Lytechinus pictus: one gene and its partners. The protein of the gene in region 1 interacts with the protein of each later gene in a pairwise test. Links are inferred from orthologs where the notes say so. Each region holds a gene or a part of one and is shown in the gene's direction. Other genes may lie near its edges. The genes, in order: ralA-binding protein 1-like, ras-related protein Ral-A-like and AP-2 complex subunit mu.

Region 1 (11,444 bases):
GTCGGTTTGATCAAAGTATTATAAAATAAAAATACCGGTAAGCATGGATTGACCATGAACAGGCATGTTGTCGAACGTAAATGACTAAATGAATAAATATACTGCCTGTAAGATGAAATATCATGAATATTGATTGGATTATTTGATTCCTTCTTTCTTTTGTATGACTGGGATGGGATGGTATTTATGAACCTGGTGTTTTTTTAATGGATTTGTAAATTCTTGAATTGGCAATATATTTTAGGTACACTGCATGTATCTGTTATAAATATGTAAATAAGCAGAACAAATAGTTACAAACATAAAGAGAGTATAAAATGAAACCACTAATCAAAAAAGGAGAAATGCTAACATTAGAGTGATTAATAAAATACATTAATTATTAACATGTAACCTGTAAAGTAACGGCTTGCATATGCTATTGGCAATGTATCAATGCACACTGCCGGTGCCGCTGTGCGTAAATACATTGAGTGCTTGATTAACAGTTATATTTATGGATTGAAAATTTGTGTCACCAAACTACAGTGTTTATTTGTGATAGTATAGAAAGTAGAATAACAACCAGCTGGTAACCTCAAAAAGTAGGCAGGGCTGATTTTAGGGATTAAATTCAGATCCCAGGGCCAGCAAGGTTAATTGTATTTCAGAAGTTCATATCATGGACTGTATTATCAGTTTCATCGGTTATCTGCACACAGATGTGTCACACAAATCAAATATCGTTTCTCGCCATCAGTCAATTACGATGTACATGTACATAGTTAAAAGGGCATATTGAAATGGTCATTGAACTACTGTACATGTTTTTATTGAATGACAAAAGATGTTTAAAGATATCAAATCAAGGATACTTGTTGCATTTTTGATAATGAGACAATTGTTCTCCTGACAATTGTTTCTCCACTAATTTATAGATATAAGGGTAGGATTAGAATTGTGATAAGTTTTTGGTTCAGAATCAGATTATGATTGGGATTCAGGTTCAGGTTGGATTCAAAGCTTGGGTTTATGTTGACTTAATGGCCCGAATTAACAAAGTGGTTTTGAAAACCCACGGTTGAATCCATGGTTTATGCAGATTCCCTGTATAAATTACGCTTAATTTAGCGCGTGTATTAAAAATTCCAATGCTAATGCGCGCTTTTGTCACAGTGCGCCAAATTGACGCCTGTTACCATGGTTAGATACGCTATTTTATTAATGAGTCCACTGTTTGAAGAGTGGACTCATGAATAAACTAGCGTGGATAACCACGGCAACAAGCGTCAATTTTGCGCACTGTGACAAAAGCGCGCATCAGCATTGGACATTCTTTAATATACGCGGTAAAATAAGCATAATTTATACAGGAAATCTGCATAAGACATGGACTCAACAGTAGGTTTTCAAAACCACCTTTGTGAATTCGGGCCTATGTGTGTGCATTTACAGTAGGAGTAATTGTCGCAGGAGCAAATGTCATAAAACCGCATTTCTATACCCCGACAAACAAAGTTTGAAGGGGGTACATGTACATGTACAGTGTATATAGGAATCTGTATGGTTGGTCGGTCCGTTGCAAATCTTGCACATGAACTACTTCCTCAGTTTGAACTACTTCCTCAGTTTAAACCAGTTCTCACACATGTTGGTTTTGGGTAAAGATGTGCAAGACACATTTTTCGTATGAGTCGGAAATTGTGTTGCCATGGTAATAGCATATTATGGCAAAAATAAGGTGAAAATCTTGCGCATCAAACTACTTCCTCAGTTTTTTAACCAATTCTCATGAAATTTGGCACACACAATGGTCTTGAGGTGAAGATGTCCAAGACTGTCTGAATTTTTTTGTTTCGGAGTCTGCCGGTGTTGTGCTGGTCCGGTATCCTGATAAATGAATTCACGAGCGGGGAAGTACAAAGAAGTCACGGATTATACAATATTGATTTCATTATATGAAATCAATAATGTATAATCTGTGACTTCTTTGTACTTCCCCGTTCATGAATTCATTTCATTTTTAAACAAACATTCATTTAAAACAAACAAGAAAAATATTATGAAAAGACAGGAAAAAACTTGCCAATGTTTACGTGGCCATCTTGTTCTCTTTGTTAAAAGCAAAGCTACGAGACGCATGTAGAGTCTGCTGCCCTCTATATGCATCTTGTACCTTAGCTACTAACAAAGAGAACAAGATGGCCACATAAACATCGGCAGGTTTTTTCCCGTTTTCTCAGATTTTTCTCGATGGTCACCTGAAATGTAACAAAGAAACCTAGGTTATGATTGGTAAGACTTAATAAAACATACTCTATAATTTGTTATGTATTACATTGTTTTATCGGAATACCGGAATGGAAAAAACAATACTGGAACCCGTGCACATTGGACGGATTCCGGTATTCTGTCCATTCCGACCAAAGCCTAGTTTAAGCAAAGTTCTGTTTTTACTGTCTCTTGAATAGCGATGTAAGTGTGAAGGAAGATGAAAATATTGACAGCTTTAAGAATGAAAATAATTACCATGTCTGACAAGAGGAAAAATCTAGTCAGTAAATTGGCAATCAACACATTATGAACAGGAACAAAGAGTGAATGAAGAGGAGGAAGATCATGTTAATGATGGGGGGGAGTGAAAAGAACAAAAAAAATTCTGAAAACTGAAGTGTTAACTCATCGTTCAAAAGGGCCAACGACTGCGCGCATTACTAATGTTTTAATACTGAAAATACTGGATTTAGTATGATAATTCTATCATTAATACAATATTTTTGTGATACTTTGTCATCCCTTTAAGCTTTGATGAAAACAATATCAATAGTTATTACAGAGTGGGCGGGGGAAAGAGAGTGGTAGACGGAAAAGGGAGAAAGAGGGGGGGGGGGGGGAGGGTGACAGACATAAATATACAAGTATAAAGATATGGTGACAAACGGTAATTTCCAATTCGTCTATTGCCAACTACATTCATTTATTCTACTGCCATTCCGTCCAACATTTCATTTAACAACCATTTGGTCCAATCATCACTTCGTCTAATCACCATTTTGTCTCCTAATATCCATTTCATTTTCATTCATTTTGCACAATTTATACTTAGTTCAATTAGACCAAATGGTATATGGACTAAATGGCTATTGGACCAACTAGATATTAGATGGAATGGCATTAGACTAAATGAAAGTAGACTTATGTGGTGAGTGGACGAACTGATGGTAGACAAAATGATAGTAGACGAGTTGGCAATTGGATGAACTGGCATTAGACGAATTGAAAATAAACCGTAAACAGAAGAGAGAAGACAATTTCCCTTTTCTAGCTAAGGAACAAAACACAAATGAGGTCATGATTCTAATGCATAACAGGTGTATTCTACATCATTGATTATTTTTTTAAGATGTACTAATACCTAATTTTCAGAGTGTCTTTTGGAAAAAAAGATTTAGTAAACTGTATAAGTTTCAGGAGGGTGGAGATGATGGATGCCCCAATCGTCTGTTCCTTTGAAATTTTCAAGATTTCCTGTTAATCCCAAAATGCTTGTAGACTTTAAAGGGGAAATCCAAATATAGCCTTAACTGGGACATGACAATTCAAATCAGTCAGACAACTTTGTTGACTCAAAAGTCAAATACACACCAGAGTTGTGTCACTCAGTTTTTGGTATTCAATCTTTAAGTCTCTCTCTTACTCTGTTCCCCTCTTTCCTTTCTTGCCCTTTTATTTTCTCCTGTTTTTTGCTTGACCTCTTCAACCATATCCTTTTCCTTCACCCCCCCTCTCTCTCTCTCTTTTCCTGTACATGTATATCTCCATTCTCATTTATCTTTGCTGTATTTCTTGTTTAATTAAACTCAGATTTGTGGCTTTTTTCCAGATATGAAGCTGTACTTTTTATTTCTGACTCATCACCATATGATATGAGGCTGCGATTCGGTGTTTCCTATAAGTTACACATGTTTAATTGAGGTCATTCATTACTCAAAATGAAATCAAGGTCAAATTTTGGATGTTTGTAATATTATTTTTGTGGAAGTCTCCAACTCCAAGTGATACTACAAAGCACGACCAAACATTCATTCTACAGCAGAAGTAATAATAAGACTAATTTTACGGCAATTTAGATTTAGGAAGACACACTGAAATATTTCTAGAATAGAAATTGCAGGTTACTGCAGTACTTCACTTCTTCATTTAATGTTCCCTGAAAATGGGGGGGGGGGGATCCTGAACTGTAGTTTGATTGCAATAATTTGACAAATGTGCATACAGTTACACCATTTTCTGTTTTCCTAATCAATGCAACTGACAGTGTGCCATCCCTCATTTATTTTCCACTAGGGTTTTGAAATCTGATACTGAACATGAAGAATTTTTAAAATGTGGTCATGTACATTTCAAGAAACTTCACTACATGTAATTCAGTGATAGCCAAAATTATACAAATCAATTTGATGATAATTTGATTTTCCTCGAGACACCTGTTCATTTGAGAGAGTGGTGGCAGTCATAATTTGAGGCGAGGTAATTTCTTCATTCTCCTAGAAGAAATGCTGGAGGTTCTTTATGATATTATTAACAACTTCCTTAGCAATTATACACACTTGTCAGCTGCTGCCATCTATTGTTGAGGGTGGCAGTAGATATTGGACATAGAGGTATATTCCCCCCCCCCCCCCCCGAGGCAATGAATAATTATTTGCAATATTTCCATTCCTTGCAGATTTCATGAGAAGAAAACAGGCAGTTTGTGTGTGCAATATCATGACATGACATGGGAGAAAAATAGTACAGGGCTATTTCAAATTACACCCTGTTTATACTGATACAAACTACATGTACAATTACAAACATAATTTGAGAAACATCAGAAAAAATGATCGTAAATCAGAATTCCTTGATTATGATGCTTAGTTTTAGTTTATTTCATTTTTTTTTACAATAGTGTTCATTATTGATATATGGCATGTAATTTCATGTTTGTAACATTCATCCCATTGAAGACAATGTTATTTCACCGTAACTTTATGTTCCATATACCCCATTACAAGTTAACTTTCAATTAGTTTCCAACCAATTAATAACCCTAACATCTATAACTCAACCAATGCATTGTACTGATGTGTACATGTAGTATTGTTTATGTATAGGCCTGCATGCCCTTTACATGAAGGCTCTTTTTACCATGCCAATCATATAGCATAATTAGCAAGGCTATTTTTTTTGTTTACTACATGTATTTTATGGCTTACATATAGTCCGACCTACACAATGTGCATTAAGTTTTAATGAGGCCATCATTGTTAGTCATTGTTCAGTATATCAAATGGGCACATCAGGGCATAAAAAGCTGTCACATGTTTCATTACCAAACACATCCTAAAGAAGAATGTTGTGTTTCAATATGAATAAACTCAAAGTTCTATTACTTTCATATTTTCATCTTCTTGAATTGATCTTTGATATTTTTTCATCATCATTTTAATGTTTGTTTCATTTACTTTTTATTCATTCTGTATTTTATTCTTTTAATCATTAAATAGTTTTAATATCTTTCATTTATATTTTTTAGTATTTATTAAGTTTTTTTTTTTATGTGTTAAGTAATTGGGAGTTATTTACATTTTGTTTGTTTATTCTTCCCTAGTTTGAATATTCAATGTTTCAGTGTGCTGAAACATATAAATATTTGTCATTCATTTTATATACTGTAACGATTGTACCCCTTTTTATCAATTAAAATTAGGTGTTGACTAACTTGTCTGCAAGCTAATTATTTGAAGGCCATGTAATGTAGGAAATAAGAATTAAGATGCAAACTGACTTTTTGATCACAGCATCTCAAAGCTGTCCACTTTGGCCTCTCTCTTGTAATTCAAGCTACATAGGCCTTCATAAGCTTCCGTTTACTTGCTAGACTGGTGAAATATGATTCATTATTGAGATATATCAAAGATGAAAATAAGGAAGTTTGTCACAAAAACAAAAATACTTTCCATTTCATGAGTCATTGAATCTTTAAGTTATAATCTGGATTGAAGTATCAATATACAATGTTATATGCGCAATATTTATTTATTTTTGTTTATGATGTTATTTCATTGATCTTGATTTTCTTCACACTTTGCAAAAGAGCTACTTGATAGTATAAACATGGAGGTCCATGGTATAAAGGATGTCTAGTAATTATTGTGTATGTACATGAGAAAAAAGGTTTATTAAAATCATATGATATTTTTCAGGAAAATCAAAATAAGGAATCAAACTGAATTGTTGGAATAGTGAAAACTGAATGTACATGTGAAACACTTCAAATCTCCAAGAAAATTATGCAAATTACTGTTAGTCAGGAACTCAGGTCAAGTTGTTTGAATGCACAAATTATGTAGACAGAAAGAAGTAATATTTTGGCATGAAACAAAGAACATTAGTACCTATGCAAGGTATTTTAGCAGATCAATAAAAGTCATATTTCGCTCGCTACTTTCAATCCGAGACCGACGTGGTGAACATTTGCCATGTTGCCCTCCTCTTTGCCCATAGGAATCCTGTACAAAAACAGAGGGCAATATTGGCCATATTTCTGCTAGTGTGCTTGCACTGTAGGAGCCGATTTTGATCGCTAGTTTCAGTATTTGAGAAATCTGGCTGGAACCAGTTAATGAACAAACACATTGTTGATAATGCGCGGCGCGGCCAGTGCATACACAAACGTAACCCAAGCGCAAGATTTCTACGCGTTGAGTGTATGTGCGCCATGCATGATGCACGACTGCAATGTAACAATTACGTCACAATTGCTTATTAAGGGTTACTTCGCTAAAGTCGTGAATAACCTGAAATCAGAAATAGTGATGAGCAATCAGGCATATAAATTGTTCCAAATAGTAGCTTGAATTACACATTGTACAGCCTCAGGTAATAATAATAATATTGACTGGCTCTTCTTTCGGGAAACATCAAATATATCACCCTTAAAAGAACCATATTGGCCTCGTCTAAAGACTCAGGCCAATATGATTCTGTTGCGGGCGACATATTTGATGTTCCCCTCAAGGCCAGTCAATATTATATAAATATCTGTGCGGGAGCTCTTATTTTTGTCACACAAATCATGTATATTATACTTGTAAGTTTGTCTTCATCTATTCAAAGGTCAAGTCCACCCAAGAAAATTGATGATTTGAATCAATAGAGAAAAATCAAACTAACATAACGCTGCAAATTTCATCGAAATCGGATGTAATTTAAGAAAGTTATGACATTTTTTATTTCGCTTATTTTTCACAAAACAGTTAAAGGGGAAGTTCACCCTGACAAAAAGTTTATTGTAAAAATAGCAGAAAAAATAATAAAAAATATTGCCGAAGTTTTGAGAAAAATTCAAATAATTAAAAAGTTATTAGAATTTCAATTATTTGATTTGTGACGTCATATGCGAGCAGCATTCCTACATAGCGAATGGTAAAAAATCAATGAAATGTCATTTTCTCAGAAAATTGAAAATGGTTTTCACTGTACCTGTTGTATATCAATAGACAAATCATTCCACACCCGATCATGAATAGAAAACAAAATTAAGTCATCAGGAACCATATAAAATTTGAAATTCATGCATTTTATATTACATAACACATGGGGCAGCTGCTCGTTTATGACGTCACAAATCCAAACTTTGAACTCTAATAACTTTCTTACTCTTTAACGGATTTTCCTCAAACCTTCACCAATGTTTTTGACTATTTTTTCTGCTATTTTTACAACCAAGTTTTCTTCAGGGTGAACTTCCCCTTTAAATGCCCAACTCAGCAATATGCAAATGAGAGAGTCGATGATGTCCTTCACTCACTATTTCTTTTGTTTTTTATTGTTTGAATTATACAATATTTCCATATTTACAGATTTGACAATAAGGACCAACTTGATAACCATAAACTGATACAATAATGGTAATTCCACATGTTCAGGGAGGAATCAAATTTTGTTTCACATGACAATGAGGAGAAAATTAGAACTTTTCATATTTCATATAATAAAATACAAAAGAAGTAGTGAGTGGGTGATGTCATCAGTGTGCCAATTTGCATACCAACCAGGATGTGCATATAATTGTTTTGTGAAATTGAGCGAAACTTTAAAATGTTATAACTTTTTTATTTTACATCCGATTTTGATGAAATTTTCGGTGTTTTCCTTGTGGGATTTTTCTCCTTTTATTCAAATCAAATTTTTGTTGGGGTGGACTTGTCCTTTAAGGGAGTCTTTCCTAGGTAAATTGCCAGTTTGTCTACTGCCAACCGGTCCACTGACCACATGGTCTACTTTCATTCGATCTAATGCCATCCCGTCCATCAACATTTCGTCTAACAACCATTTAGTCCAATAACCATTTGGTCCAATCATCACTTCGTCTAATCACCATTTCGTCTATAACCATTTCGTCTCATAACCAGTTGGTCTAATATCAATTTCATTCTCATTCATTGTGCACAATTCACACTTAGTCCAATTAGACCAAATGGTATATGGACTAAATGGCTATTGGACCAACTAGATATTAGATGGAATGGCATTAGACTAAATGAAAGTAGACTTATGTGGTGAGTGGACAAACTGATGGTAGACAAAATGATAGTAGACGAGTTGGCAATTGGATGAACTGGCATTAGACGAATTGGAAGTAAACCTCTTTCCTCTATCCGTCTGAGTTTCATCATAAAGCAGCCATGAACATAAATACAAGGCTTTAGTTTAGAAGATAAGCCATCTAGACTCAAGGAAGGAATCAATGGAGGATATCTCTTACATCTTTGGATTTCATGAAGACATGAAATAGCAAGATTGGAGATTTAGTATTGTTTGCTGACTGTAGCAATACCATTATTGTAATCTTTGATGATTTTATTTAAATGCCCAAGTCATTTCAAGAATTTGTTATAGAATTACTTATTTATAGCTAGTCAGAAGCAACACAACGGCCTTTCTATTGCACAAATTTCTTAAAATCCCCAGAAATTATGAATGAAAAGTCAGCTTATCGCATACAGATCTTCATATTTACTTTTAATCATTTTCCGGTTGATAATTCTTTTTACTTCCAGCACTTTGCATGAGCTTTAATATTTGTCATAAATATCAAATGAATTATTTTTGAAAAAGTAATTCTTTGAATGGAAGAAAATGAAGTGATTCATTATGTTTTACATGTAAGTTTCTATCCACAAAGAATTTTGAAACCTTATAACCCTAGGAACTAGCAAATATATACCGTAAGTAACGGTGTATTAACCGCACCCGTGTATTAACCGCACCCCCCATTTTCGGATGGAAAAAAAAAAAAAAAAAAAAATCATTAAAAAAAAAAAAAATCATTAAAAAAAAAATTTAATCAAACTTACTTTCTATCTCTAATATGCGTATTTAAGAAAGAGTCAAGAACCAAAAAATATCGAAGAATTACTGGTAAAAAATGATGGGAAATCAGCGCTTCGTCACTTATCTGCAAGTTGCCGATATTATTGGCCAGTTCCACACTCCGAGTCACCTCACACACACACATATGGTACCGGTGTTCATTGCAAGTACCGATACCAGCATCAACATGGGGGCTCACCCATACGAGAAGATCGTTCATATCATATTTCCTGCATCACAGCCCCACTTTTGCTTTCAGAATTCTGTCTAGCATTCAATGTCTTGACATGAATTTTAGACAAGGGAATACGGGAAGGTTCAAGATACGAGAAATTTGCGATTTTGTTCAGGTGTTTTTCTTGTCTGCTTTGAACCACTACCGGTAGTTCTCAGTACGTGTGTGGCGGTGTCTTACAGACAGCAAAATAGGAAAAAAAATGCTAGTACCGGTATACCGTATTTTCAATGGGAGCTCTGGGCGGGAATAAAGTGAATAATAATTAAAAATAAAAAGTCGGAAGGAGTGAAGATGGGGATTAAAGATTGATTTTGAGATGATGGATGATAGAGAGAAATGAAGGAAAGGCAAATGAAAGAAATTAATTGTCAAATAATACCAATAATTTGTCAAACAAAATAACTTCCACGGAAAGGTAAAGCGCCAGCTTACGTTGACGTTGCGATAAACATTACACATGCATGTCTTATTCGGCTAGCTGCACCGCGCTGTGCGATCGATTGGCGTCTGAACTTTGCCGCGATGACTAAAAAATGACAACAAAGACAGAGTCACACCATTAAAAAAAGTCAGTTTCATGAAGGTAGGTGCGTTTGTTACCGTGATATAACTTTGAGGGACATTTACGGCAGATACCGGTAGTCATAGTTGCTTCCCTTTTATACCCGCGGCTCATACCCCTCTAAACGGGATTGCCCCAAGCGGCTACGCTCGGCCACCCGACGCGAGTTGAAAACTGGTAGTGGTATCGGGCTGAGATTGGCTTGGCTCAGACCTGTCACCGTGTATAAACCGCACCCCCGACTTTTGATTCTGTCCCGCCGAGAAAAAGGTGCGGTTAATACACCGTTACTTACGGTATGGAATCATGTCAGATCTATTTTTTCTTTTTATTTGTTATTTGCACAGGGTTAGCAACAGCCGGGATCTACCGTCTTTCTGGTGTGAAATCAAAGGTGGAGGCTTTGAAGGCCCAGTACAACAATGACGAGAAAGTGAACCTGAGGGACCATGATCCCACCGTTGTCACTAGTCTCTTTAAATTGTATCTCAGAGAACTGCCGGACACAATCTTGACTTCAAGATTTACCCCAGTATTTGAACATTCTGCAGGTACGTTGGCAAGACATGATTGGGAGGGAACAGATTATGTAAATTGAGAAGATGAATATCATTATCTGTTTGAGAGCGAGCTTTAATATGAACAGTCTCCATACTTTTTTAGGCTTTGCTTTATTTAGGATTCTGTAATTGACTATCCTGTTCCCCCATCATTGTGTCTTTGTAGAAATGAGTAGAGAAAGTAGAAATATATGTAGAGAATAAATGCAGAGCCAGATTCCTGCTTGTAGGCCAAAGTCATAGTGAGATTCACTTTTGCTAAACATCCCCAATATTACATTTCACCTTTAAAGCAAGTGCTTGATATTCAAGATGAATTTATGTAAATAAAGAAAGAAAAAATGACTTTTTTAATGATAAAAATTTATCAGACAGTTTTACGTTTAGCCAGTAAGATACAATGATTTCGCCAGTTTATGATGGTAGTTAGTAGCTGAAACAAGGCCCAGGGTTCCATAAACACAAAGTGTAAAAACTGATACATTTCACAACTGAATGTGCCCGATGCAATCAGTTGTGAACATTTTGTTTACTATCAACTTCAAATCTTTGTGTTACAGAACCCAGGTCTTTTCTGTTTACTAGTTTACCTTTATTTACCCAAATTCATTATCCAGGTCTAACCGCAGCACAAGAGAGAATAGGGGCATTCAAGAAGCTCCTAGCCCAGTTACCCAAATGTAAC
Region 2 (11,790 bases), on another chromosome or scaffold:
TTAATGATAATATTTTCAGCACGGGAGATGTATTTCTCATGATTTTAATCTTGGTGTTGTAAATCCTTATTCTGTTGTGAAGTGTATCTAGCCCTAGGGCCATTTGATAAAATTTGTAAATGGTTATATCAAGGCTCCACGTTAAGTTGTTTTTTCTTGGTGGCCTGATCGGTCCACCAAAATCAATGTCATATATTTGATGGCCCGTAAAGCAAATTTAGCGGCCCGAAAACGATAGAAAACAACAGAATATATCAAAACTTTGGTGGCCTGACTTTCATTTGTGGTTGCCCCGGGCCACTGCTTATGTCGAGCCCTGGTCAAAAACGACTTCACCTTGTAACCCTCATGAATGCTGTTCAATGAGATGTACCACTAATTTTCTGTTTCATGTATTTTATTTTTCTTATACAAAAACTGTATTCTTTTTGTTATAGTGTTAAGTCCCAGTGGATATAAAGTCTCTGGACTTTGAATGGCACTCATGCCATGGTGTTCATACCGCAGAGCAGCATGTGTCCTTTAGCAATGCATTAATATACATGTGCCTCACTCCACCCGGGGGAGGTGTCCTAGGCATACATACATATGATACATGTACATGTAAAATGGGTACTGCCTTCTCCAAATGCGGTATTCAAAATTTGACATTTAAGCGCTACACCAGCACCCACTTTAATCTAGTTATAAATTGATTCTTGTTGAAATATTGCAAATGCTTTGTGCATTGCATAAACAACTTTTATTTAAAGGTCAAGTCCACCCCAGAAAAATGTTGATTTGGATAAATAGAGAAAAATCAAACAAGCATAACGTTGAAATTTCATCAAAATCGGATGTGAAATAAGAAAGTTATGACATTTTAAAGTTTCGCTTATTTTTCACAAAACAGTGATATGCACAATTCTGTGATATGCAAATGAAAAAGTCGATGTTCTTCACTCACCATTTCTTTTGTTTTTTATTGTTCGAATTATACAATATTTCATTTATTACAAATTTGACAATTACATGTAGGACCAACTTGACTGAACCATATAGTATTTAACAATGCTAATACCACATCTTCAGGGAGGAATTCATCGTATTTCACTTGACACTGAGGAGCAAATTAGAATATTTCATATAATAAAATACAAAAGAAATAGTGAGTGAATGACATCATCAGTCTCCTCATTTGCATACTGACCAGGATGTGCATATAACTGTTTTGTGAAATCAACCGAAATTTTAAAATGTCATAACTTTCTTATTTTACATCAGATTTTGATCAAATTTTCACTGTTATGCTTGTTTGATTTTTCTCTTTTAATTCAAATAACTTTTGTTGTGGGTGGACTTGTCCTTTTAAATCTTCACATGAAAAGTTGTCTGTGTACCAGTATTACATCGTGGAAAGAATGGAGGGGGGGGGGGATTGTCTATTCATGTTTACATCGATAGAAAATTGCAATATATATATATATGTATATACCTTGCCATGTGGTACGTACATGTACCTGCATACTGTTCTCTACTGTGTTTGTAACTTAGTTTTCTGTTGTGTGAATGGAGCATCATCAGACAAATGCATGTTGATAAACATGTGCCATGGAACACAAACATGGCATTTACCTTTTGCATTGCATGCCTCTTCAATCTTGATTTCTTTGGTTTGTAGTAGTATGAAGCTGTGATGGGGCTAATAGATAGTTCTCTCCTAATGTAGGTTTGAACTTGACGCTGATGGTAATCTACTATTAGTAGTGAGCTGCTTTTTGTGAGAAACTAACTGATATAAAGTGATTACGATTTTCTTAGAGGTGTTTCAGTTTTGGGGAGGAGGGGGTGCAGTAGGTTGTAGTATCTTTTTTTCAAGGCTTTCACTATAATCAAAGCATAATTAGATGAACTATTAAAGGGTTTATTTCATCATCACAAAAGATGCCATATCAAAGCCGAATAAACAATTCGGAAGACATGGTTTATAAGTAGAATACAATCAGTTTCGTGCATTTTGCTGTTTACTAGCTGGTTACTTTGCTTCTGAAACATTGATTTTTTTTGGGGGGGCTGGAGGTGAATCCTCCTCCCCCCAAGAAAAAAACCCGTAAAATTGTAATGTATTCAGCTGCATATTGTGATAAGGGTATCAAGAAAAGTGTATCATGATTATATGCAATAGTGAGATTGATCACTTTAGGTTTGCATCCTATGTGCATTTCATTTGACAATTTTACCCATTTCATATAAAGTATTTAAAGCTTTTTTTATACAGGAAAGGGATGGGAGGAATTAAGAAAAAGAAGAAAAAAAAGGCAGAACCCTTGAAGTAATGCATGGGTTCACTGTCTATCTGCTATTCAGGAGTTGGCGTAACTCAACTTTTCCAATTTTGTAAATTGCATATCCCGCTTCAGAACTCATTTAAAAGATCGATGCTATCATTCTTAACCCTCTCACATCCAGAGAAAGCACCAGCCTATAGAATATCTAACAGCAAAACTACCCCTTGACAATACATTGGTTAAAGGGAGTGTGGTATTGACTTTGTGCCTGGGCCAAAAGTTCACCGAACCCCATTTTGAGTCAACCTGTGTTTTCCTAAGGGTAGCGTTTCATTGCAAAGATGCAGGTGCGAGGGAGGGAACTTCAATCGATCTCATCTTCTACTCTATCCGCTTACCTGTGACCCACTGAACTGAAAATGATGTATTCACAATGAATTGCAGAGAAATGCATGAGTGGGACTACATGTATCACATACCCATTTTTATAGAAAATAGTGTTTCACCAATATGGAGAGAGAGAGAGCTGTATAAAGATCATATAAAGTATTAGAGCTCCTTACATGTTACTTGGTAACAGTAAATTATTTTATAATCACGACAAAAAAAATGAAAGAATCTGAAAAAATAGGTGTTGAAAATGATTGTGAATGTTCCCAAAGTAGCCAAAATCAATGCGTATGTTCATGCCATCTTGCTCTAGACCCTCGAAGTACATGTACAGTAAACAAGCAAGATGTTATTGGATGTAAAAAATTAGGTTACTAGTTTGTGATGTTTCTTTATCCAGAAGTACCGTAACTCAAAACGTTGAGAATACTCTCTCAAATGCTGCCTTTAACTTAATAACCTCCATAGCTGCTCTTTCATTAAAGGAGTTTCCGGTTGTTGAATAAATCCCTAAACAACCGATTTGTCCCTAATTGTACACCAATAATAGCTTAAATATGCTTTTCACATTGCATTTCCTTAACCCCATACAATCCTTAACCCCGGACTATCCTTAACCCCATACTATCTTTTTGGGGATTCACACTGTCTTTCTTAACCCCATACTATCTGCTTAGCCGGGGTTAAAGCCTTAACCCCGGACTATCCCACAGCTCATGAATATTGATGATTTTACCATACAGAGCGTGATTAACGTGCTATTTCGACTTCTGTGATTGGCTATTGCTTAGCCCCACGTTTCCTTAGCCCAGTTTCGTTTCACACTGCATATCTTAGCACCGCAATTGTGGTGCTAGCACCACAATAAGCCAGCTAACCCTGCTTTTTTGCAGGGCCAGATAGTACGTACTATTTACCGTGCTAGCCCACTTTGCTAAAACGTAGTGTGAAAACGAAGTGGGCTAAGCTTAACCCCGGGAAATTGGTGGGGCTAAGGCCCCCCCTTAGCCCCACCAATTTCCTGGGGTTAAGGGAAAAAAGTGCAGTGTGAAAAGCATAAAAGTGTATTTGATTATTTCCCAATTTGCTGTGAAAGCTGTGTTGTACCTCACATCACCTGATGAACACCATTATGGCACAGACAGAGAGAGAAACTGCATGAATAAACACAAATCAAACATTCCTATAGATACCAGAGTGCAGATATGCCTACTGTGCGTGTCTGTCCATTCTCCAAAATACTTTGAATGTTTAAGGGGGTGAATGATAGTAAATATAAACACATCCATCATAGTTGATCTCTTGGGCTCATCATTCTAGAGTACTTGAAAATCCCCTAATGAGAGATGAGTGCTTGGTAGAAACACCGTTGTATTAAACATCATCAGGACCCTGTAACAACATACAGCTTATCAATTGATTGTGATGCAGATATATTTTACAATTGATGACACACTGCAAAAACTTTGGTGTTGATTTAACACCAGCTCGGAATCTATATATGTCCACTCCAGAGAAGTATTGAAACAACACCAGTTTTAATACTAATCTGGTGTTAGACAAAAACGAAACTGGTGTTGTTTAACACTTCTCTGGTGTGGACATATATAGATTCCGGGCTGGTGTTCAATCAACACCAGAGTTTTTTGCAGTGTACAACACTATTCAAACCCCATGATCAATCGTGCTTTATGTTACTGGGACCTTGAGCCTGAAATCTTGCATTAAAGAAATCCTCATGATTTTGTCAAGAAATGTTAAATCAATTTCAATACAAATTTTAAACAATTTGAAGGTGTTTGCCAAGTTCTATGTTTTTGCAACTTGGGTGCTTGCATATGTTGCAGTAAAAACATGTGAATGTTTGTGGCTATTTCATGTGAGTTTGGGACACCATTCACTTGATGTACATGTAAGCCTATCCTATGTTTACATGATTTATAATAGCTACATGTACATGTATGTACTGTAAAACCAAGGTGTTAATCATGGGCTTTGAACACACAACACCTTTTGTCTTAATAAACTAATCATTGCACCAGTGGATGATAATAATAATAATGATATGTGTAAGGTACATTTACCCAGGGAAGCCACTTCAGTTCTGAAACCTGTTCTCCCAGCGGGCCCTGCTATTATTATTACCCATGCTTTAGCTGTATTAAGACATGAATGATATCTCATGTAAAATGTTTGAAGTGGTCCTTTGTAAATACGGGTGGTGCTGTTTATAACGCTTCTGTTGTTGTTGTTTTTTGTCAATGTACCCCTTGTTCTTCATAATCCACCCGCCTCACTCTGGCAGGCCACAGCAATGAATTCATGTATATTGCGTCAGTTTATGCATATTCTTTATAGATTCAAATCAATTCATCATAAAAAGTTGTCTTGCTCTCTTATTATTCACTCTCCCATACATGTATATATCTAACAATAGGTGGTTTCAGACCACCTCGAAGTTCGTCAGTTCCAGGTATTTTCTGATCAGGAAATTTACCCTGATCAGAAAATACCAGGTAATATTGGCAATGTGAAAGCAAATTACGCTCAATCTCCCCGAAAGAAAATACCCACTAAATATTAGGTACTTGTCAAAATAACGAGAACTTTAGCTGGGATTTTTCCAAGGTCGCAGGTATTTTGGCAATGTGAAAGCAATTTACGGGAACTCTTAGCCCAGCGTGTAGTTGGGCGCGGGCGCCGTGGGTGGCTGCTGAGCTAGTGATTTGAATCTCGTGCCTTGCCTGCTTATCAGACCATACTGCGCATGCTCGTAACTTCAGGAACATATCCCGAAGTGTACGTTTCAGGGCGGTGCGAATGCAGGAATAATAAATGGGTATTTTTAGCCTAAAAATGTTCTCGTAATTTGACGGGGATTCTTATTATGGAGGCGGTTTGAAACCACCTAATCATTCAAGTTTTCCCAGATTAATACTTGGGTCTATATTTCTTTTCTCCTGGGAATATTCCCTCCTCATCTTTTAATTTAATCATCCCGCTGGTTGATATGAGCCCTCGACTGTCTACCTCGTTGCGTCTGCTTGAGCAGTTATATCTTTGGTAACCTTTGCAACAACAAAAAAAATTGCAAAGAATCTTATCCTGTCATGTGCTTGAAATGTAGCAAAGATATTTTTGGAAACGATTGTGATGTATGATATTCAATGATCAATGTAAATGTAGCTGTATACTTTCAATTTTGCTTTCATAGTTTGGTATATATGCTGCTACATGTATTCTGATAATCTCTAGTGGGGCGTGGCAATTGGCTGCTATTGAGAAAAGCAGCGTGAACAAAAATAAGACCATGTTTGTTTTTGAAGTATTATTGAAAAAAAAAGTATTTTTGATGTAAGGGAGATCTGTTATGAATTCAAGCTTCCATATGAAATCGGTATAATAACGAATTCAAGTGAAATTGAAACAAAAAGCCTCTTTGAAATACTATTCAGAATTTTCATACAAAATGTACCAATGTCAGTCTAGTACCATTCTACCAACAACCCTTTAAAAAGGAGGGAGGGGAGGTGATATTGATTAAGGGAGGAGCTTTATTTAGATAAAAAAATCTAAGGTTTCTATCTACATGTAAATAAAAAAAATAAAACATGGAAAGATCATACAATGTGTTGTCCCTCGTTCCTGTCTCGTTATTTATACAAAACCGCCATTTTTTTATGATTTTGTGGACGAGCATGGTGTCCATCTTTAAATGACAGTGCCCTCCTCCCCCCCCCCCCCACTTTGATGGTGAACAGATTAGAATGCTTAAAGAGAAATTCCAGTAGTTGCAGTAAACACTGATTTCATGAGAAAGTCTGTAAAACAAGGCTTAATTGTCAGTATATCATCGAGGATCTAGATCTGGTACAGTTACATAAACTGAACTTTGTGAAATCTTGAAATCTACGCTGAAAAATGTTCACACTGAAGATCACCAACACAGATAGGCACACGTGGGACAGTGTATTATTATTGCTAAAATAAAGACCCGACGGAAGTGACCGAATCCGCGCTTATTTTGCTTATTTCTCAGCAATCACACAATTTCTTCCAGAATCCTTTGGCACATATTTTTTATTCATACAAACAGACACTTAGGTGGTCATTATATTAGATTCTGTAAAAAGTCATTTTTAGATCGTTACCAAAACTGGAATTTATCTTTAAATGGTTACAAGTGTGGAGCGTTGTGGCCCAGTGGATTAGTCTCAGGACTTTGAAACAGAGGGTCATGGGTTCGAATCCCAGCCATGGCGTAATTTCCTTCGGCAAGAAATGTATCCACATAGTGCTGCACTCGACCCGGGTGAGGTGAATTGGTACCGGCCTGGCAGGAATTTATTCCTTGAAATGCGTGTGCGCTGTAATCTCAGTAATTACGGCTGCCAAGCTACAGCTGGGGTAATAATAATATCCAAGTCCTTTGGAAGTGCATAGAGACATTATTCATGATTGTGATATGCGCTATACAAGAACTGTATATTATTATTATCATTATTATTACAAGAAACATCACGAACAGCAATCAACTCATGATAGCCAGCCCATCCATGTTTTTCTTGAACACCCACCCCCTTTGTGAAACATCAGCATAATCAATGCCGACTCGGGATATGCTGAACATAATGATGAAGGATTACAACACTTACGATCACTCCAGATCAGATTCTAATCCATGCCTGAGGTAGAGTTTCAACCCAACCTGGTTTGATCGATCACAATTCTTTTTCTTGAATGCTTACATCACCAAAGGGTATAGGCAACAGATGGGGCAATATATGCTGGTGACATTTTGAATGAATTATCATCGTGATTATTAACACTTATCGTGTTGTTCGGAGCAGTGCATTATTGCACATTATGTACACATCATTTACTCCCAACTCTAGCTGTTGGATTCGCTTCACGAACACTGCATCTTGGAAAGGGGATTTCCATAGGAGTTCTGTAGAGATTTGGGATGATTTTACGGGCCGATGACGTTTCATTCAGCAAAATGTCTCATAGTTTCATGTGCAGTGCTTTAAATGAGTCATCGTATGTTGTGCCAACCATACATTTCATCAGTAATGGTTCGTAATCACCGATGATAGATGCTTGAATCTGTGACCTTTTTGAAAATACAAGTTTCCAGGTGTATTGAAATTGTCTTGTGACTCTGGCTCGATATTGCTTGAGGATGTGCAAAGAATAATTTATGTGAATCCAGGCATTCTTGTGTATATTTTATTGATATACCTGCTAACAGCAAGGAGCTCTCCTCATGAATCATTGGATTCTCGGCGATCGTTTCTCGTCGATCACAAGCCTTGCTTAGCAAACAGGGTGTGGATAGCTGTGTGTCAGGCCTATCGATGCTTGCCTAGTATCTCCAACATCTTATAATACAGTAGCAGGAGCTTTGTGCTTGAAAAAAAACACACTTTGCCTTGGACATTTGCTTCACGTGTGTCGATATCATCAACGAAAGGTTTTTATTTGCTGTTGGCACATCGTTAGACCTTTACTGATCTTGAACGATTATTTTGTTTCAGAGGGTATAAGATTGAAATGATGCATACAGGAATGCGTTTCCTTCTAGAACATTCTTGACAGAACATTGAATGCATGTGCGGAGTAAAACTACATGTATGTTGGACAACTACATGTATGAAGGCTGATGTGGATTCTTAGAACCTAGCACTTGAACTCACACAATGGTTATGTCAAACGATCGTGGATAGTAAAGGATTAAAATCAGCAAACATGATGGAATGCATTTCGTAATGTGCACTTCATCTGACTTGATAATCCTTGGTCATATTTTTTTGTATTCCTGATGAAAATCTACACATTGTGAAATTAGAAACATCTTTGGTTTGCCAACTGAGTGACATCCAATTTGTTGGAGTTCCTCAAAGTCAATGATTTTTATCAGCATATAGATTGCCGAATAGATTGAAAGCTTCAGGTGTGCAATATAAAGGAACCTACTTCATGGGGAACAGTTGTGTCATCTTGTCATCCTGACCCCGTCATCACTTGGGATGATCACAATGTTCCATAATTAGCAGGACACCCAGACGAATTGTCACGCCAGAATGACTGTGTAAAGTGTGTTGTGTGAATGTTATCCGACATGCTCAAAGCTTCACTGCAGTCAGCAGCGAGAGAGAAAGTGCAGTCATCTCTCTTTAAACCTTGACAAGGAAGGGATGGATACACATGTATTCTTCTCTTGATATACATCTTTCTTTGGTTAGTATCATTGGATATTTCTTTAAAACTTGGATACCATTCCTGATGGGTTATGAATTGCTTGTAGCGTTTGCACCGGAATTTACACAAAGCTCCAGATTTTAAGGTTCTGTCTATCTCCGATTGCAGTGTTCCAGCTTATAGTGTGGGAAGAGTAGTCACTTCTGTCACAGAATATGGTGTGAAAGTTCTGTCTCTGCTCTATGTGTCTAATTATCAATACAACAGGATAATAATTACAGCGCAAATACTTTTTAATAGTCATTTTGATTTGGAACATGTAACTGAACTTGAACTTTTCGGAACTATTAGTATACAACATTGTATATTTATAAAGCAGAAGGAAGCAGGCTACAAGATCTCAGTCATATTGTAAAATCTCACTTGATCTTTGAGGAACTCCTCTTGGAACCTCTGGCCTTATCTTTGAGGAATTCTCGGTCACATGCCCTTTTTTTTGGACTCTCATTTCAACAGTCATCCAGCCCAGGACACTCTTTAGTAGTCCTTCAGGGACTTCACTAACTTTGTGGAAAATTTGATTCGTGTGTAGCGACTTTGGTTGTCTTTGAATCTCACGATGAGCAGTTCAGAGGAGGACCGTGTTGATGGCCATCTGCGATGTCTTGAGATACTTCCTTGCATGCAGGGCGTGACTGATCAACCACTCACAGAGTATGTCCAATCGTTCTTGTAACATCATGATAGGATTATGCATTTTTTAAAAGATTTACTGGTGATGAGTTCTGCGCCACCTGCTGCATAATTGTTTCTGTCATGCTGAATTTGCCATCCAGTTGTTACTACCATGGTAACGATGCTCAACAGCCAATCAAAATAAAGGATTCCCCGTGACCTTCCATTGGATGGTTAAAGTTACATGTTCATGAGCTTAAATTGGCAGAGAAGCCCCGGGGGGGGGGGGGGGGGTCAAATATATTGCTGTACACATGCATGACCATATTATTTCCAAACACCTCAACAAGTTTTTCTCTGTGTGCAAAATAACCCCCTAAACAAGTTTTTCACGGGCTTTATTTACACATTTTGGCGCCAAACAAGTTGTCGCCAGAGTATAACCCCAGGGAAAAAAACATACCCTAAACATGTTTGGCTAGTCTTAAAAAGAAAAAGCTTTGGAAAATATACCCTAAATACGTTTGACCCCGCGATTGATCATTGACCAGTCTTTCAGTGCACCCTTTTTTTCTTCTAAATCTGTGTTTTTGATACCCTTAACGAGTGCACATGCGGCCCGTGTCCAAAACTGAAAAACACCCCTTTAAACATCTTTTTTTTGGGGGGGGGGTCATGCATGTGTACAGCAATATATTTGACTGCCCCCCCCCCTCCCTGGGAGAGAAGCAAGAAAGAGCATTGTAGATTGAGCTAGTGCTCAATCGCTAGATATGATTTCTGTACTTGGATGTCTTTATTGACACCCCATCTCTTACAGTTTGGTTTAATTTTAGATATGAGATTTGCTCCACTTGCGGAAGCTGTCTTGATGTTTTTGTTTGATAATGAGTCAATGAATTAAAAATTCATTGAAAAGGTGGTGGCTTTTTAAACCTTTAAATCTTATTTAAAATCTTCCATTGCTTTGCAAGTTATAGAATGGATCTTATGTTTAGCTGAAAGCCTATAATTGAAGAGCATTTTCTCAAAAGGAGACCATTGAAAAAAAAACCTCAAGGATAAGTCTTGAGGTTAATGACAATTGTAAAAGAGACATTGTAGCATCAATGTGGAAGAAGACTGATCTAATTTCAACTTCTGGACAATACCCATGCACCAAAAGCAATATTGTTTGCAGCAATGCTTGTGAAGTCAAAATACGAGTTGACAGAAAATGGGTCTGCCTTGTCGTGGATGCTACTGAAACGCAAGACAAATTTCATTCCAATTTTCATGCAAATGAATTGGATATATTTATTTGTGATCGTGGAGTCGATTATAATCAATGCCACTGTATGGATTTGATAGTTTTCCACCATCATTGTGATGTGGTTGGCCTTCGTCGATAACATGCATTTATACATGATGTATAGATGGAAAGAATAAGCTTTGGCAAGCAGTTGGTGCCCGGTGGGCATGAGGGAAATGTAATAGGTCCGGAGCATTCATGCTTGATTAATGCTCAGATTATTTTTCCCCCAAGGGTTTTAGTTTTTGCTATATTTAGCTTCTCTTGCAGCTAATTTGTAAATCTTTCCTCCGGGCTGTTGGGCGGGCGGGGATATATCTGTTTTTATTCCCTTGTATTTGTAGCACGTATTCCGGCACATAATTCCCCCTTTCTCTTTCTGTGGAGACACATTAGGTGGTTTCAGACCGCCTCGAAGTTCGCCAGTTCCAGGTATTCTCTGATCGGGAAATTTACCCCGATCAGAAAATACCAGGTATTTTGGCGGTGTGAAAGCAAACTACGCGTAATATCCCCGAAAGAAAATACCCGATAAATAGTAGGTACTTGGCGAAATTACGAGAACTTTCGCGGGGATTTTTCCAAGGTCGTGGGTATTTTGGCGGTCTGAAAGCAAATTACGGGAACTTTTAGCCCAGCGCGTCGTTGGGTGCGGCGCCGTGCATGGGCTGCTGCTGGGCTAGTGATTTTGAATTTCGCGCCTTGCTGCTTATCAGACCATACTGCGCATGCTCGTAACTTCAGGAACTTATCCCGAAGAGTATGTTTCAGGGCGGTGTGAATGCAGGAATAATTAATGGGTATTTTTCAGCCTAAAAAAGTTCTCGTAATTTAACGGGGATTCTTGTGATCGAGGCGGTTTGAAACCACCTATTGTAAATTTAGGACCATAAAAAATTATCAATTATAAAGAAGTAAAGATCTGTTCATGCCATAGCCCAAAAGGGTTTGTACATGTATGCC
Region 3 (11,201 bases), on another chromosome or scaffold:
TTTTTTATATTTAATACGACACGAATTTTATACCTTCCTCTTTTTAAATTAGGAACCTGTTTGCCCCCAATTATGGTTGTATAGTAATGAGCTGAAAATCGGGAGAAGTTGCCTATATGGAGGTGACGGCAGAAATTGATATAAAGATTATACTCGCCCGGAGCCGACCCAACTTGCGCGACCAATTAAAAAAAGATAACTTCATGTACTTCGGTCTATCCTTACTCTAATTTCATGCCCTAAAGTACCGTAAGGGCACTAGTATTCAACCCGTTTGGAGAGTTTCCTCAAATATATAGAAATATAGAATTTACCTGAATTTCAGACCCGTCTTATTTCCAAGAGCAAATGCTGGTTATTCTTTTTCCGTTATTTTTTTCTTCAACCAGTTGACTGTGTGCGCGGGCGATCGAATTATACGGCGACGGATTTTGGTACTAGTATTCAACCCGTCGGCACTAGTATTCAACCTAGCGATGAAAGATGGCCTTGTCTCTCAATCTGCCCTTGTCCCATCCGACTATGAACTAGACCATTTGAGATGAGACCAAACAGGGATTGGGAATTAATCAAAGCCAGAGACTTACATAGTTCTAGATCTAATTTAGCAATTTAAACCTTTTTGAGATTTGCTATCAATCCTCACTAGGTTGAATACTAGTACCATTCAGTGCAAAAGGCCATCGCCGCATAATTCGATCCTCCGCGCATACAGTCGACAGATTGACAAAGAAAATATCGACAACAGATTACCCTGGAAATAATAAAGGTGTGAAATTAAGATAAATTCCCTATTTCTAAATATTTTGGGGAATATGTCAAAATCTTTGAATTATGCCGGGTTGAATACTAGTACCCATACGGTATATATTTGAACTTTAACTGGCAAGAAACACATATAGCTGAGATGGAAAAACAGGGTTAGAGAAAGGGTGAGGGAAACAAAGGAGAACTGCAATATTGTCATTTAACCGCGCGCAGCGCGGAAGCAAAATTCATATATATAGATTTAGAGCAAGAGTGAAGGAGTTTCTGTTTTGAGAAAAAAATAAAGATTAAAAGGAAAAACCCACAAAGCTACCTTTCTTTCCTTTCCTTCCTTCGCTTTTCCTTTTTCTCCTCTCTTTTTTCCCTTCTTTTTTTTTCTTTTTGGGGACGTTTTGGGGGGGGGCGACCGCCCCCACCGCCCCCCCCCTGGCTACGCGCCTGTGATAGGAAGAGTAGAAGAAATAACGTTGTTAAATGATACGAATTGAGACCTATCTGTTAGGTAACTCCTGAACCACTCCAAGGCCTTCCCCCTAATACCATAAAAGGAAAGTTTATAAAGAAGTATTTCGTGGTTAATGGTATCGAAGGCCTTGGAGAAGTCCAGGAAAATACCAACAGTATGAAAACCTTTATCTATGGAAGTAGTGATTTTATCAATAAAAGACAGAATTGCAAGTAAAGTGCTATGATTTTCGCGAAACCCAAATTGTGAAAAGATATTATGTTTATTAAAGAACTTACTTGTACGTGTATGTATAAGTTTTTCGAGAATTTTAGATAATGAGGCAAGTAATGAAATACACATTCACATTCCATAAGCAAGTTTTACACATTATTTGAAACATGATTATCAATTATACAATAAATCCATAACCCATATAATTATACAAATTATACATCAAACTTCACAGCAAAAACTGTGGTGTTAACCGGTGTACATAGAGGACCACACCACTTTATTTTACACCGGTGTTAAATTGACGGTGTTATTTTAACACCCATAGGTGTTATTACAACACCTTGGGATGTTACATTTACACTCTTTGGTGTCATGTTCAATCTCTAGGGTGTAATTTTAACACCTCAGGGTGTGGTCCTCTATTAACACCAACTGGTGTCAGTTTTAACACCACAGTTTTTACAGTGTTCAAAGATACCGGAAATTAATACTGATGCGTTTCAGCAATTACAAAATGAAATATTAACAAGATGTATTAAATGACAAGAGAAAAAAATGATTAAAAAAGATTTATTCTACCTCCCACCCCCCCCCCCCCCGTCCCCAGGTAAGGAGCGCCCTCCACTTTATGCCTACTCTACATGGAAGGGACTCCAATTCTCCGTATTGTTCTTGTTTTTTTCTGTGTTTTTGTGGTCTTGTCTCTCGCTGTTTATATACCTCTGCCTCACTCTCCCTATATATTCCTTTAATTTAGATTTTCCCATTTCCTTAAATGTAGAGACATCTTGCCTCTACCTAAAGCCAGCCTTCTTTCTTCCCATTCCTCTTCTTTAAATTTCCTTTTAATTTCATAATTTTTTTTAAAGGATGTTTTATTGTATTCTCTCAAATCAAAATAAACATTCACATTCCATAAGCAAGTTGTACAAACTATTTGAAACATGATTATAAATTATACAATAAATCCATAACAATATAATTATACAAATTATACATCAAACTTCAAAGATACTAGAAATTAATACTAATGCGTTTCAGCAATTACAAAATGAAATATTAACAAGATGTATGAATGATAAGAGAGAAAAAAAATATAAAAAGTGTTGTTCTACCTCCCAACCCCCCCCCCCCCTGTCCCCAGGTTAGGAGCACCCTCCCCCCTTTTTTTATGCCTATACTCTACATGGAAGGGACTACAATTCTCCGTATTTATTTATTTTTTTGTATTTTTTTTTGTGGTTTTGTCTCTCGTTGTATATATACCTTTGCCTCACTCTCCCTATATATTCTTTTAATTCAGATTTTCCCATTTCCTTAAATGTAGAAACATCTTACCTCTACCTATCATTATCATTGATCACCAGCGCCACAACAACCAAAATAATGTCTTCTGTGTGGGATGGGAAGGTCTGAGATGATACTGGCTTTCCTATTTTTTTTTTTTTTTTGCAGCAATGTTTTTCGCCAAGTTTTCTCAAAATCGGTCATGCCAATTTTATTGAATGTCATGCCATATTTAAAGGTCAAGTCCATCCCAACAAAATGTTGATTTGAATAAATAGATAAAAATCAAACTAGCATAACACTGAAAATTTCATCAAAATCGGATGTAAAATAAGAAAGTTATGGCATTTTAAAGTTTCGCTTATTTTTTTTACAAAACAGTGATATGCACAACTCAGTGACATGCAAATGAGACAGTCGATGATGTCCATCACTCACTATTTCTTTTTTTTTTTATTGTTTGAATTATACAATATTTCATTTTTTTACAGATTTTACCATAGGGACCGACTTAACTGAATCATATATTATTAAACAATGCTAATTCCACATGTTCAGGGAGGAATTAATCACTGTTTCACTTGACAATGAGGAGAAAATTAGAATATTTCATATTTCTTATAATAAAATACAAAAGAAATAGTGAGTGGATGATGTCATCAGTCTCCTCATTTGCATACCAACCAGGATGTGCATATAACTGTTTTATGAAATTAAGCGAAACTTTAAACGTCATAACTTTCTTATTTTACATCCGATTTTGATCAGTTGATGAAATTTTCAGTGTTATGCTTGTTGGATTTTTCTCTTTTTATTCAAATCAAGTTTTTGTAGGAGTGGACTTGTTCTTTAAGTCCTCACAAATTTCCTTGATTGGCTATAGAATCGCTGTTACTGTGATAAACCAGTCCTTCAATTAAATGCTGCCCAGGCTATCATAGACACGCGATAGTAAGCTTTTCAAGGTCATCAGGCCTCATGATGACGTCATATAGGCGCCATTTTGTAACATTATTTAAAATTTATCATATCATCATAATGGATCATTAATAATCTATCATATTTACAAAAATAAACTTTAGGCCAAGGGTCAACTATACATGTCATCAAAGGTCATGACGCGCGCATCGAAATTTAAAAATGCTAAAAATCGACTATTATTAATTTTGAGTACGTTTTAGGCATTTCAAAATTTTGCGCGCGCATTTTCGTACGTCACGGCATTACGTAACATATAATCATTAATCATTAATGCATTAATGATTTAATTCCAAGCAATTTTATACCTCAATCAACTCTCTACGACCACTAATAAAGGAATGAGCACCCATTAAAGTTTGCAGCACGCGTGCGCGCGAGCTCTAACCTCTAACCATAGGCCATATGGCCAAAAACATGCTTTTTGAAAATTCACTGTATATATTTCTTCAAAACAAATGGGGACCCTTTTTTCTATTTTGATGGAGTATAAATCACAGATATGATTTCATGTCTCATTCGATCATCAATTATATCATGACGTCATAAAAATGACGTCAGTACTAAAAATTTCAATTTTGCGTGTTATGACGTCATCATAATTATGCAAATATGACTCTAACTCTGTAAATATTGGTCAGTTTTCGCCAAATCTTCGATATGATGTAGCTGAGGGATTACTCTTTCTGAAATATTGTCTTTATTTTTCATTTTTATTAAGGCCCCCATTCCACAGAAAGGGGACCTTTGAAAGACCTTTGGAATGGCTCAGAAAGACCCCTCAAAGAACTCCTAAAAACTGATTGGTACTTCTTGTCTTATTGGGCTTTGACTAGTCCTATAGATCGAGATATTTTAATGGTCTTTCAGAGATCTTTTATGCAGTGATCTTTCAGAATTCTTTCCATGGACTTTGCCTGGTCTTTCAATGATCTCTCATGAGTCTTACGGTGATCTCCGCAAAAATCTTGAGAGACTGTCGAAAGATCATGGAAAGACTAATAAGAACTTTGAAAGTTCATCGCAGTCGACGGTGAGGTACCTTGTCAAAGGCCTTCATAAAATCTAAATAAATTACATTTTGAAAGACCATCAAAAGACGAATTTCCTGTAAGACAGCTGAAAGACTAACTGTACCGTTTCAAAAAGTTTTGGAGCTCATAGTGAGTTTTGGAGCTTATTGCCTGGTCGTTCTACTATGCTTCATGCAGTTGCTTAATGTTGTTGATGAGTGGTCTCAAGCTCTTGAAGAAAGGGGTACAATATCGATGTGATTTATTTAGATTTTATGAAGGCCTTTGACAAGGTACCTCACCGTCGACTGCTTGAAAAGGTCCGTAGTTTTGGTATAAATGAACAGGTGGTTAGATGGATTGAGGCATTTCTTGTTGGAAGGAGACAGAGAGTGTGTGTGAATGGCGAGTTCTCAAGTTGGGGACATGTAGATAGCGGAATTCCGCAAGGGAGTGTCCTTGGACCTGTGTTATTTTTTTTTATATATCAATGATCTCCCAGATGTTGTTACTGGAAGTAATGTAATTCAGTAATAAGAGTGTAACAAGTATATAAGAGATCAGAATGACATGCAATTCACTCCAGAGAGATCTTGATCATCTGAAATGCTGGTCAGAAAAATGGCTGCTGAAATTCAACCCCAAGAAATGTAGTGTACTCTCTATTGGTAACACGCAGGACCGACAGGAAGCTTTTGTATACACTTTTTTTAATGATGCGCTTGAACATGTAACCCCCGAAAGGGACTTAATTGGATGTTGTAATTGATGATAAACTCAGCTTTGAAGAGCACATGCAATCGAATATAGAAAAGGCCAACAGGCTATTGGGTTTGATCAGACGAACTTTTGTTTATCTAGACAAAAATAACTTTTAGGCCAACAGCATGGAAATTTTTGGTAAAAAGCTGATTTTTTCAGGATAGGTCCGGGAATATGTCTATATAGAATACCATACTAAAAGTCCTCATAAATCCTCCTTGAGGGTTTTCCGTAATCCAAGATGGTGTCCAAAATGGCCGCCATTCACAGAAAATTGACATAATTCACTCACTATCCACACTAGACATCCAATTTCGGTGCATATTTCATGTTCTAAAGGGATAAAAAGATCTATTGATATACAGGTTAGAGTGAATATATAGGCAGACCAGGGAAGATGGCGTCCAAAATGGCTGCCATAGCCTAAAAATTAAAAAAATTATCAATTTCTTACTTTAATGACTTTACTTTCGTGGGGTAGGAACATGGCATAAAAAATATGGGGAAGTGTATTATTATTATATACATGAAGTGCCCTAACTGTAGTAAATGCAGGTCTTTGACTTTCAACAGTTTACTTTCTAGAAAAAGTGGGTCCCTATGAGAACGGAAAGCTGTACTGTAAATAATACGAAGTGCTTTCTTTTGCAAAAGTAACAATTTATCTGATAAATATTGATGGGTACCCCAAATAAGAATCCTGTAGTTTAAATAAGGCAAAATTAAGGATGAGTAAAGCATGATTAATGTAAGTGATAATGGGGTGATAATGTTAGTGATAATGATAATGATGGTGATGATTATGATTATAGAGATATTTATTCGAAATTACTTAGCTCTATGGAGAATGATGACAGACCACCTAATTCGTCCTCATGACGAATTAAAATCTATTTTTATTTTTATTTTTTCTTTATGAATAAAAGAAATATCTGCTCATATCATTATTCTTTGAGGAGCCAATGTACCTACGATGATCGTTCTTTTAGCGCCATCTATGACCATTTTATGTCAACTGCATGATCCGCCCAACTGTACTTCCGCTGCCTTAATTGCATGCATTATACAGGAATTGATACAGAGCCGGGCCGTGTGAAGGTAGAAAGGTGGGTGTGTTCTTCTTTTAAAACACAATTTTGACTTATTTATATTTATTTTCTTGTTTAGTGAAACGTATCCCAACATTCCTGTTAATGTATGATATGTATTAAAGTGTGTTATTTGGAAAAGAATTTGCTGAATTTACAATTGAGTAACTTTCTGTTCTCTGTACCGTGCCCGTCCGCATAATTCTGGCACTGTCTGTGGCAGAATGAATACCGTACGCGGAAGAATTGTAATGTGTATTTCAGGGTAGTTGAATCATATTTGGATCTGGGGCCTGTTGCATGACGAGATGAGCGATACGTAGGAACGTCCTAGGACCATTCTCCCAAGATAGGAAGATTGGCGACAAATCAGCGCTTGCCGTTTCACGAAGGCAATTTTGTCTTTCAAGTCCGCGACATCGTTTGATATCGATAGTATCGGAAAAATATTTAGTCTTCATCGTCACCTGAACCTTTTATTTCGGAATGACGACTTTTTATAAAATCATATATTTCAATAAAAGGGGATCAATAATGTTTTATTTATTACTGATTGTAGAATTGATGTATGGAGCGTACTTTAATCTTTATGGGGTAAAAAGAGAAAAAACTTTCAAGATTCACAAACATAACTGGATAAAATCGAAATTTTCATTATTTCCCTTATGTAGAACACGGTGTCCTTTTAGAGACACCTTTCGTTGATATTTCAACGAAAGAGACCCTTGTCCGACCTAAAAATTTATTTAACTAAGTAATTTCGACATTTTATTAGTTCAATATAGGCCTAGGCCTACTGATTCTTTATAGAATACCGGTAGTACGGTACATATTATGTATAATGATGATTTTGCAAATTATGCGTTAATATGTTATCCGTTGAGGTAAAAATAGGGTTTGAATGGAGTAAACAAAATCAACAGTGTCTGATTGTATGAGACTAAAAAGAAAAATATGAGAGGCTGCCTGTGGCTGTGAAAAATCTAATTTATTTATTTTATTTGTCAGATATAACGCAAGAAATACAAATGTGAGTGTTTAGAGTATAAACATACCTCGGTTGCATGATGAGTAACCGAAGACAAGGAAAATATGAAAATTGCTGCAAACATGTCCAAGTGCATGGAGTGCTTTGCAATAACAATTAAAACATAGAAAAGGTGTGCAATCTGCAATGGAAAAAATACTATTTACAGAAATAATGCTAAATATTACAATGATCATAAACGTTGGTCATCTTTAAAGTTGATATTTCAAAGTTTATGGAAGCTTATATAAGAATATAAGGTTTAACTATAAAAATTTTATATGTTCAACATTTCAAAGTTGAGGAGTAGAGTCTACATTATTGCTTTAACATTACATAGGGGCCGAAAGGGCCTACCCTACGATTTAAAAAGTGCCTCTTCGTATGGACTTTCCATAATCTTTTCTTTAATGAACTAGCTTATCTTCATTTGTAATAATTGTGATGGACTCGTAAGCTAAATGCCTAATCTGTATCTTAAATTCAATTAGCTATTTTGTTACTGCTGATTTTTTGCTTTGTTTCACTGTTTCACAGTCAAGTTAGCCCAAATCCGACAATTAATTTTCATTGATTAGAATTAATCTCAGCAAAAAATATTATTATAATGAAAATGAAATAAAAATAAATGAATGATTTACCATGTTTAACATTTTAGTTTTGTATCGTTTTTTTTTTGCTGAATGTTATGAACACGTTTTTTTTACCTTACATAATTTCTTTTGTTTTCATGTTGTTTAATTATCTATAATGAGAAAGCATGAGGGGTCAGAGAGATAGTGCCGCCCATTTCGATATTTCAAAAAAAAATTTAATGGAAATGGTGTGGGGATATAGGACGGAGAATAAAAGAAAACATATTAAAAAAAATATTTGGGCCTACATTACCCCGGACATAATGCCCGGAGAAGTTAAAATGACATCTGTTTTTGGTCATCTTGCCGTGCAAAAAGACGACCTGAAATCGATGACAACTAGCCCCCATATAAAAAATAACTTGGCACCATCCCAGATAAAATGCATCAGTGTGCAACCCCAAAAAATGTTTAAAGGTGATATGTCAGTGTGGGTTGCCGTAAACGAATTTTCTCTCAATGCCGACGGTGGCGGGCGGTGTGCAAAGAAGATCATGCCTACGTAGGACATGTCTGGAGGTGTCTTTCCAAGGACCATTCTTCGTATCGCCCAAATCGGCTTTGTGAAACAGTTGAGCGATATCTCGTTCTTACGTAGAATGGTTCTACGAAAGACCCTTTCATGTAACAGGCCCCTGGATTACGATGCAGTGCGAAATGCGTATTTTCCCCCCTACTTACAACAAGGGCTAACTCTGTTTTTAGAATTAGCCAGAAGGCTCCTAGAGACTAGAGAGTAAAAATTATTCACTAACGTGTGCATACTTCGCCTGAGCTGGAGCAGTGGAGGCTGGAGGCCAAGTTCTGGAGAGTAAAAAAGTATCTAGGCCTACTGTACGTAGGCTTACATGTACTCTCCATGAAGCCTGGTTCGGTTCACTCACACTAATACGAGGTTAGTATATACACTAACCTCGTACAAGGGACCGTGTTTGACCCTAGATTTCGAAGTAGTCGGCAAACATCACTTCATTGCTGAAGTAATATTTGCCGAAACTCCTTCTCGCTACGCACCGGGGCTCTTTTCGGTAAGTAGCAATACATAAAAAAATTATACATACGATTTGGAAATAATTTCATTACAAAAAGAGCAAATTTCGCTTATCTCGGCCTAGCAAGTGACTTCGTTTGTCTCTTCTACGGAAATACAAGGAAGCCCGTTGGTGGCGCTAATAAATTTCACAACCTTGATTCAGCTCCTTGGTAATTTTATAACTGTGTCTAAATTCTTTGGATGCGCAATTCTTATGATTAATTTACTAATTATGGGCACCAATAAATGAAATACCTTCAAAAACATAATTCAAGATTACTAATGGCGATGATAACACTTTTTGCAATTAATTTACAACGATGACTAATAAAAAAAATTGAAAAAAATACACATGCCTGGAACGAAACCAGCAGTACAAGCTTTAACGAACGTCAATAATACGGTATACCAAAGTCTATACAATGAAAAGATTGGACACTTCACGGACTTCGCGTAATGCCTTGCGTAGATTTGCGTGTAAAATAGTGTAGGTGCCTAGTCTTTCCCTTGTCGTGTCTTTGATATGAATATAAATCGCGCGCCCTCTTTAGGCGAAAATTGATATCCACGCTGACCAATTTGTATCTCCGTGAAATCTTCACTAAAGATCAAGAAAACATACACATTTTTTAAAAGAAACTTCAAGGAGAAGTCACGGAAGGATCTAAATGATTCGGTAAGTGTCATAGCAGAATGTGAAATACCAGATTATGCGTGATATTTTATGTGGGCAAAAGCCCAGTATATTTTGGATGTGTCGTGTGTGTCGCGTGCATATGACTGATATTCCTTCGCATGCGAGATGATATGAACCCATGGGTGGGTTCGGTTAGCCATTGGTCTCTACACACCGTAGGTTTTCCCATGGTGAAACTAGACCTAAATCACACGTTTTGCTTTGGATTTTGAGCCCAAACTAACGTACATGGGCCAAAACAATATTTACCCCCCAAATTTAATATGTTTGTATATTTTATTCAATAGATAGTAGTAAATATGAAAAATAATTAAGAGCACGAGCGTTGACTTATCCAGTCTTTTTTTGTCGCCATCTTGATGTCTTTGTTATCGATACCTAGAAACCACACGCGTGTATACATGTAGCTGCCAATTTAAATTAAAAAATAAATTGCATCGGCCGATAAATATCATGAATCGTGAAATACTTGCATCGGTCGAATAATATCATAAAAATGAAAAGATGGGGAAAACTTGCCACGATGTTTACGTCGCCATCTGGTTTTCTTTGTTTTTCGCCAAGGCTACAGCACGCATATCGGGATATGCAGTGTGTGTTGTGAGGTTTTTACAGATGTATTTCAATGAGAGATGATTATTAAAGGACAAGTCCACCCCAACAAAACGTTGATTTGAATAAAAGAAAAATCAAACAAGCATAATGCTGAAAATTTCATCAAAATTAGATGTAAAATAAGAAAGTTATGACATTTTCAAGTTTCGCTTAATTCATTAAAAAAAATATATTCACATCCTGGTCGGTATGCAAATGAGGGGACTGATGACGTTACCCACTTACTATTATGTATTTTATTATATGAAATATGATATATAAGAGTCCCATATGCACTCCCCACTAAAATTGGAAATAAAAACATGGATAAGGTTTAGAATAATATATGTAGCCCTATTATAGAACATATATGATGGGGGAGTGGAAATACATACCAAAATATGGCTTTATTCTGTCAAATTTGACAGAATGTCCATAGACATTGGTTTATTTAGTCAGTAAAGGGTCTGTGAGTCCAGACTAATTGAACTATCGGCTGATAATTGTTAAAATTCCCATTCCGGTATCAGCGCTTCTCGCTAGCAAAGTGGGAAGAGGTCTTGACTGCAGATTAAATGAGGTGAGTTCGAGTCCCAACTAAGGTAAGCAACATTTAAAAAATGATAGAAAAATCTGA

What was found.
Region 2: the proteins of ralA-binding protein 1-like (region 1) and ras-related protein Ral-A-like interact in a two-hybrid assay, tested with the Drosophila melanogaster proteins (6 studies listed by BioGRID). The link is inferred for Lytechinus pictus from reciprocal best matches to the Drosophila melanogaster genes Rlip and Rala.
Region 3: the proteins of ralA-binding protein 1-like (region 1) and AP-2 complex subunit mu interact in a two-hybrid assay, tested with the Drosophila melanogaster proteins (2 studies listed by BioGRID). The link is inferred for Lytechinus pictus from reciprocal best matches to the Drosophila melanogaster genes Rlip and AP-2mu.

Annotation. Positions count from the first base shown.
Region 1 is NC_087247.1:48,441,931-48,453,374, forward strand, and holds the start of ralA-binding protein 1-like, read left to right. Parts: upstream 1-6,138; coding exon 6,139-6,151; intron 6,152-10,546; coding exon 10,547-10,750; intron 10,751-11,376; coding exon 11,377-11,444. UniProt on the Drosophila melanogaster protein: Participates in receptor endocytosis during interphase, is also involved in mitotic processes when endocytosis is switched off.
Region 2 is NC_087245.1:39,574,279-39,586,068, reverse strand, and holds the start of ras-related protein Ral-A-like, read left to right. Parts: upstream 1-7,496; 5' UTR 7,497-9,480; coding exon 9,481-9,575; intron 9,576-11,790.
Region 3 is NC_087258.1:28,023,355-28,034,555, forward strand, and holds the start of AP-2 complex subunit mu, read left to right. Parts: upstream 1-6,483; 5' UTR 6,484-6,596; intron 6,597-11,201.